Linked DNA regions of Zea mays. The protein of the gene in region 1 interacts with the protein of each later gene in a pairwise test. Links are inferred from orthologs where the notes say so. Each region holds a gene or a part of one and is shown on either strand. Other genes may lie near its edges.

Evidence for each region. The genes of interacting proteins can lie anywhere in the genome.
Region 2: the proteins of [Fructose-bisphosphate aldolase]-lysine N-methyltransferase, chloroplastic-like (region 1) and Homeobox-leucine zipper protein HOX19 interact in binary tests that used the Arabidopsis thaliana proteins (3 or more experiments, as listed by UniProt). The link is inferred for Zea mays from reciprocal best matches to the Arabidopsis thaliana genes LSMT-L and HAT22.

Annotation. Positions count from the first base shown.
Region 1 is NC_050102.1:115,535,676-115,539,646, reverse strand, and holds [Fructose-bisphosphate aldolase]-lysine N-methyltransferase, chloroplastic-like, read left to right. Parts: upstream 1-1,238; 5' UTR 1,239-1,282; coding exon 1,283-1,773; intron 1,774-1,877; coding exon 1,878-1,906; intron 1,907-1,990; coding exon 1,991-2,202; intron 2,203-2,391; coding exon 2,392-2,514; intron 2,515-2,657; coding exon 2,658-3,062; intron 3,063-3,152; coding exon 3,153-3,362; 3' UTR 3,363-3,438; downstream 3,439-3,971. UniProt on the Arabidopsis thaliana protein: Protein-lysine methyltransferase methylating chloroplastic fructose 1,6-bisphosphate aldolases. Can also use with low efficiency gamma-tocopherol methyltransferase as substrate, but not a cytosolic aldolase.
Region 2 is NC_050096.1:29,551,967-29,555,921, reverse strand, and holds Homeobox-leucine zipper protein HOX19, read left to right. Parts: upstream 1-1,327; 5' UTR 1,328-1,509; coding exon 1,510-1,947; intron 1,948-2,377; coding exon 2,378-2,457; intron 2,458-2,678; coding exon of another isoform or gene 2,679-2,690; coding exon 2,691-3,051; coding exon of another isoform or gene 3,052-3,122; 3' UTR 3,123-3,398; downstream 3,399-3,955.

The sequences.
Region 1 (3,971 bases):
ACAACAAGGTCAAAGTAAAGTCATTTTAAGTAGGGGACCTGGTGTGGAAGACCATCCTGCCTCTAAGGAATAAAGACCGGAAGTTTGGAAAATGGTCGCCAAGCTGGGAGGGTCCTTATAAAGTAAACATGTAATATTTGGTAACGCCTATTTACTATAAATATTACAAGGCAAGGATTTACCCAAAGCTTTGAATGGACGTTTTCTCAAGCAGTACCATCCTAGTATGTGGCAAGATGCTTAAGAAAATCGATGTGATCACATCGAGTTAAGATGCTTTTGGTTTGCCCATCTCCACCAAAAGGCAGGGGGCATATGTTTGGCACCAAAATGAGCGTGCGGACGGTCCGGCCCTGAGGCCGGACAGTCCGCGCCTGTGGGCCGGACGGTCCGCGCGTGCGCAGAGCAGATTAGGGTTCCGAGTTTTGTGCTACGGTTGTTAGCTAGATTCGCAGAATTAGCTCGGAAATCAGTTGTGTAAAGGGTCCAGCCCCCTCCTGTATAAATAGAGAGGTATACGGCCGATTTGTAATCAGCAATCGAATCAAAACACTTCTATTTCGCATTTATTTCCTATGAGTAGTTATAGTCTAGTTCTAGTTTAGCCTTCCGATCCCCAAATTCTTCGCCTCTACGTGGATTAGAGGAGTCTAGGTCGGCCTGCCCGAGCCTAGATAACTCCTAGGATCTCTCCTCCCCGACGGGGTCTCTCCCGGGAGCGAGATCCAGGCGTCGCCGGCGATCTTCCGCCGCCCGGACCGTCTGGCCGTCAGGCAGTAAGCCCTAGCCCCTGCGCCAGGTCGCGGACGGTCCGGCCCCTCGTCGTGGACCGTCCGCGTCTGACCAGAGAGCACCGTCACGGTTCTTGTTGAGTGTTTGGCGCTCCAAAAAAGCGTCAACAATTTCTTAAAAATATATACTACAGTTGGAGAAGTTCATCTTGAGCTAAAAGCTGTAATTCTGATCGGACGGAGTATCTGAATTGTGTAATTTCGTTGAACGACCCATCTCATATGTGTTCTACAAGGAGCCGATCATCATCTGCCTATGACTTATGAGCGGTCGTGAATCATTTTTGAGATAATTCGTGGAACATCTACAGGATAATTAACCTCCTGTTTCCTAGAGGGAAAACACCTATTGGCACGGACTCGGTCGGCATTTCACCGCTGATCATATCCACTCCCGCCATAATAACTACTTATGGATATGGAAACCAACGGCCGTCGTCGTCCAAACCACTACCTCCGTCGCAGGCGCAGGCCGCGCAGTGCAGGGAATCATGGCCACGCTCTACCAGCACCACCTCCTCCCCCTGCAGCGTCTCCCCAACTCCCCCCGCCGACCGCCTCCTCGCCTCCGCCTCCCCACGAAGCCATCGAGGCACCACAATCGGCAGCTACGACCCCGCGCGGCAGCCAGCACAACGGCCACAGTGTCTGCGATGGAGGACTTCCGCCGGTGGCTCGCCTCTCATGGCGCGGGCGATGGAGGAAAAGCCATTCCAGCCGCCGTGCCGGAGGGTCTCGGCCTCGTGGCGGCGCGCGATCTGCCCCGCGGGGAGGTGGTCGCGGAGGTGCCTAAGAAGCTCTGGATGGACGCCGACGCCGTCGCGGCCTCCGACATCGGCCGCGCCTGCGGCGGCGGAGGGGGCCTCCGGCCCTGGGTCGCCGTCGCGCTGCTGCTCCTCAGTGAGGTCGCGCGCGGGGCGGACTCGCCGTGGGCGCCCTACCTGGCCATCCTCCCGCGCCAGACCGACTCCACCATCTTCTGGTGAGTGAGAGGACGCCGATCGCTCCATTTGTGTTTGGCTGCTTCTGCAGTTCTGCGCTATTCTCGTTCTGATGTTTGAGTGGCGCTTGGTGCCTCCAGTGCAGGTCTGAAGAAGAGCTCCTAGAGATACAAGGTCAGTGTGCAATGCAAAAGTTCTTGCCAGTTGTTGTGTGCTGGGATCTCTCGGTAACTTTTATGCTACTTCTGTCACTTGCAGGAACACAGTTGCTAAGCACCACAGTGGGCGTGAAAGAGTATGTGCAAAGCGAATTTGATAGTGTTCAAGCAGAGATCATAAGCACAAATAAGGACCTGTTCCCAGGTAGCATAACATTTGATGATTTCCTATGGGCATTTGGAATGCTCAGATCAAGGGTGTTTCCAGAGCTCCGCGGAGATAAGCTTGCTCTCATACCATTTGCTGATTTGGTAATATGCAATACATATTGGCGTTTTCCAGATTCTAATCCCACTTGCTACGATTCTTCTTATTGTTGTTAAATGGTCCTAGTTGTAATTTCCATGCTTAAGGTACCATGTCAAAAGGATTCAAATAAGGCATTATTTGAATGTTGGAAATGCATTCTTTAAAATTATTTTGCTTGCTTCGCAAATCAGGTTAATCACAGTCCTAATATCACCTCAGAAGGGTCAAGTTGGGAGATCAAAGGAAAGGGTCTTTTTGGTAGGGAACTCATGTTCTCCTTGCGAACACCAGTGAATGTTAAATCTGGACAGCAGGTACAGATGATGTTCCATTTTTCTGCACTAGGTGCACTGTTTTCATGGCTTTCAGCATCTATATGCAATAGTGGATGCTTCAAGTTCAAGTGACAAGCTAAAACGTGCAATTTGTAACTGAGCACTGAGATTTGCATTTACAGATATATATCCAGTACGATCTGGACAAGAGTAATGCTGAACTGGCACTAGACTATGGGTTTGTGGAATCAAATCCATCAAGGGATTCGTTTACTGTGACCCTGGAAATCTCTGAATCTGATCCATTTTATGGAGACAAGCTTGACATTGCAGAGGCAAACGGACTGGGGGAAACCGCATACTTTGATGTAATCCTCAACGAACCCCTTCCCCCTCAAATGCTCCCTTACCTGCGATTACTTTGCATTGGTGGAACAGATGCATTTCTCTTGGAAGCACTCTTTAGGAATTCAGTTTGGGGCCACCTTGAACTGCCATTGAGTCCTGACAATGAGGAATCAATATGTCAGGCCATGCGAGATGCCTGCAAATCAGCCCTTGCTGACTATCATACCACAATAGAAGAGGTTTACCAATTGATTAGATGTAGCTATTCTTTTCCTTCATCTTTTTTATCTTAATTAATTAATCTTATGAAACATGTGTGGAATATTCAGGATGAAGAACTATCGGGAAGAGAGAATTTGCAGCCAAGACTTGCAATTGCAATTGGAGTAAGGGCCGGTGAAAAGAAAGTACTCCAGCACATTGATGGTATTTTTAAACAGAGGGAGGAGGAATTAGATGGCCTTGAGTACTACCAGGAAAGAAGACTCAAAGATCTTGGTTTAGTCAGTGACAATGGTGAAATTATTTTTTGGGAGTAGTAGATATTTGTTTCTAGTATAGTAGTGCTATTTGTCCATAATGCTAATGAAAGGAATGCATTCTGGCACTGTTAACAAGAAATGCATGGTAAATGTCATGCACACTTCTGTGACATAATCACATAGCAGGTAAAAATGGGCAAAATAAATCATCACCCACATTTAAAAGAATACATGATCATCACTGATAGTCGTATCAGGTGAACAGTTAAATTGACATTCACCTAACTATAGATTGGACGTCCTCTCTAGTGCATATGCCAATTGCCAACAGACTTAAACCTGTAAAATATCTATAAGGCCTTTTTTATTGCGCATGGGTTGGCTAGGGATATTTTTAGTTCAATTCTCTGGCAATCCCTCTCAATCCACATCAGAACCAGAAAGGCCACAGTAAATCTCTGCAAGTGCAGCATATGTTGCATACTTGCTTCCACATGTACATTCTTCCAGGTGCGTTTGCAGATGGGCTTGTGCACATGTCATTTGCAATGGTTTACATTCAACCCTCATCACAGCCATCTATCTGCTCCAGTTCCTGTTAATCAGCGTTGTTGCTGATCATATTACAGTACTCGTTTTGTTCAGAGCCCGTACCACAAAATGGCG
Region 2 (3,955 bases), on another chromosome or scaffold:
TTCAGAAAATCCATTTATGTAAGTTCATGAATAGGATGATACTGGGTGACATTTTCACTCGTTTTTCTGTTTGGTACTGGTATGTGATACTAACAAGAGCTGATGATTTGTTAGAACATAAAAGGCAGTTAATCCAAGACATGTGAGGACGTTTAAGGTTTGGGGTTAACTCAGCGACTTCACTCTTATGTCTAATCCAATACATCAAGCCGATGATTCTCACACCTACCACACAAAACAATCACAAACCAACTGCAGCAACAGAACTTAGAAGATCCTGGTTACCTAGGAAGGTTTTCGACAAACCAACTCCAGTTACATGAAAACCTTCTTAGACTAAATTATTGTACAACAAAACGTCAGATTAGCCTTTCTAGCTATGCTGCCGACGCGTTAAGTACCACTGGTGAGGATATGATAGAGTGTGGCGGCCTCCCGAAGCCGCCGCAGGTTGGTCGAGTCAATTGGAATTGTGCCCAGTTGATAGTTTTAGTTGATCCAATTCTCATGTCTACAGAACATTCGACTAGCAAAAGACCCAGTGATCTATCAAAATATTTAATTGTTTTACTAAGTCATATGATCAATAACACTTACAAATACATCTGGATGTGAATAATTTGTAGGTATCATTGGAATTCAATCTTCAGTTTGACAAATAACGGCTTAGTAGCACCAGAAAAAGAGGGGGTTATGATTCCACAGTCTGTGTAGTGTGCTGGTTCAGGGACATGGAACCACCATGCGGTTGCTCTGGACAGTTTGAAGACTAAATATCTCCAGTCATGTATATAATAATCTTACAGTCACTGAGAGGAATCACCACATGGATTTTACATATCATAGTGATATTTGTCGTTCCGTTTATATATTTCATACAAATTTTTTACTTCCGTCGCAACGCACGGGCACTCAGCATTGTATTCACGCCGCCCGTTGCCAGGGCTCTAAGTCCATTGGAGGCTCGCAATTTATGTTTCGTGGCATCGCACGGGCACCTACCTAGTTAGAGAAATAAGTGACATGCTTCCTTCATATTTAAATAAATTAAATATTCTAGTTAATCAATATAAAGATCTTAAAGATAAATTCAATGAACGCTACAATAAATACTGGTGCATGGACGACGGTGTCACCGAAAACAGCCTGCTTGCGGTTTACTCTTCCGTTTACATTTAAACTCTCCTGTGCAGCAAGTGTCAAAGCGTGGGCTCGCGTACGTACGTGCACGTGATGTGCGCGTGCATCCGCGCGCTTGTCCGTTGCCGGCTCCGCTCCTCCTCAAATATTCTCGCCTGCCCTCCTCATTTCCTCCTCAACCATTTCATTCCTTCCTTCCTTCCCCTCGCTCGCCTTCCTGGCTTCTTCCTCCCCAGCACGCACACGCACACGCACACACCCAGCCTTTTGGCTGCCCTGCCGGCCGTCAGAGAGAGAAACCGAGCTCTAACTAACTGAAGTGGCGGCCACATAGCTAGCTACTCTTCTGATCCTGAGCGCGCACGCGCCATGGCTCAGGAGGACGTGCACCTGGACGACGCAGGCCTCGCGCTGGGCCTGTCCCTCGGCAGCGGCAGCGGCGGCGCCTCTGGTGCGGCGCGCCACGGTGGTATCAGCCGCCGGCTGAGCAGGGAGGTGCGGCTGCCGTCGCCGCACCCGCTGGAGCCGTCGCTGACGCTGAGCTTGCCGGACGAAGCGACCGCGACCGGGTCCGGCGGGGGCGGGGCCGCGCACAGCGTGTCGTCGCTGTCAGTGGCGGGCGTGAAGAGGGAGCGCGTGGATGACGCCGAGGGAGAGCGGGCGTCGTCTACGGCCGCGTTGCCGCGGGCCTGCGCCGGCGCCGAGGACGACGACGACGACGGGAGCACGCGGAAGAAGCTGAGGCTGACCAAGGAGCAGTCCGCGCTCCTGGAGGACCGCTTCAAGGAGCACAGCACCCTGAACCCGGTACGTAGTACTGTACCCCTGCGTGCGCGACACGTTGGGCGTGACTCACTGACTCCGATCGATTGATGACTGGTTGCTTCGCTGCTTGCTACGCACCAGCACCACAAAACGGCTGCGGCTCCGGCTGCACTTGCCTTGCCTAGTACTACACCTCGATGAATTACTAGTCGACACTGGCTGCGTACATGGCTGATTATTACTACAGCCACACACATATATATTGTACAGTATATGGTACTCGTTATCTCTTTCCCCCCCCCCCCCCCCCCCCCCCCACATATATTTGTATTTTAATATGCCTCAAAATAAGTACAGATATTATTCATCGTTTTTCCACCCCTATCGAGAACGAGAATTCGAGACGAGTTGTGTTTCTGAACGTCCTCCTTTTGCTTTCTGTTGGGGTGTCCTTTTGGCTTGGAGCGAGCAGAAGCAGAAAGTCGCGTTGGCGAAGCAACTGAAGCTGAGGCCACGGCAGGTGGAGGTGTGGTTCCAAAACAGGCGAGCAAGGTTAGTATTAACCAGGCGACACGCACGGACACCGGCCCATGGCATCCGAAGGCGTTGTTGTCGTTTTTTTTTCAATAATATTGCCATGCATGCACACGCAAATAATAAACCAGCAGCGAGCCCACAGAAGCAGATACGACATGCATGCTAATTGCTATGCTTGGGTTTTGTTTAGGACTAATTAAGCTCTGACGGCTGATCGACATATTAACGTGGTTTAGCCGCGCGCGCAGGACGAAGCTGAAGCAGACGGAGGTGGACTGCGAGCTGCTGAAGCGCTGCTGCGAGTCGCTGACGGAGGAGAACCGGCGGCTGCAGCGGGAGCTGCAGGAGCTCCGCGCGCTCAAGTTCGCCCCACACCCACAGGCGCCGCCGTCGTCCGCGACGCAGGCCGGCGCGGCGGCGGGCGTCGTTCCGGCGCCGCCGCCGCCGTTGTACATGCAGATGCAGATGCCGGCCGCCGCCACGCTGAGCCTGTGCCCGTCCTGCGACCGCCTGGCCGGGCCCGGCGCCGCCGCCAAGGCCGAGCCCAGGCCCAAGGCAGCCGCCACCCACCACTTCTTCAACCCCTTCACCCACTCCGCCGCCTGCTGATGATGAGGGCAGGGCAGCACGCAGCCACGCAACGCAGCGGCAGTAAACAGAGCACCGCCCCGTGCAGATAATACCACGTCTGTACGTGTCACAAGTAATTAACAAACGTATGGTCCTCCTCTCTATCTATTTTCTTGATCCGGAGGGCTAAGTTAGTTGTTTTCGTGTCGATCCCAAATGCATCAGCTAATCCATCAATCATAGGCTTGATAGAGTAGTCGAAAAAAATAGCCGTAGCTTTCCTAGCACTCCCTCCGCCCCCCCCCCCCCCCCCCCCCATCCATGTATATTTCTGTTGTAATTCTGTCCCTCTCTCGCGGTCTACTTGCTCCCTTTTCGATTGGAGTACGTAGCTCCTTTGCCTTTTTGTTTTTGGTTTTTTGTTTCTGTTTCTGTTTGAGACAGGTTAATATAATCGCCGTCGTCCGAGGGTGTAGTGTCAGGGATTGATATCCCTGTACACCGATTATTGGATTGAGATGCTTCTAGCTAGTCTTCGTACTGATAAGCGTGCGTGCGTACGTCAGAGCACCACAGTGCTGGAATGGATGATGACATGAGAGACAGGTAGAGAAGCCCAGCTGCGTGGCTCTTGGACCTTTCTGCAGGTGTACGTGGTGTGTACACACGCACACCCTTTTTTATAGTACATATATACGGCTCAATGATTGTGCGTGCCGGGGCTCTCGACTCTCCAAATTGCTGTCGCTTTTGCTCGTTTTAATTATTGGGAGCGCGAGCGCGGCAGCCCGCTCTTGTCTTGAGCATGCCCACCCCTCGCTGGCGCACAAGCCATCAGTTCTCTGCACCGTATATGCATGGCTGCCCGGCCACGGACGAACTTTCAGTTTCAGCAGTCTAATGATCCAGGTGATGGCCACCACCATCAGCTGTAATTCTGGAA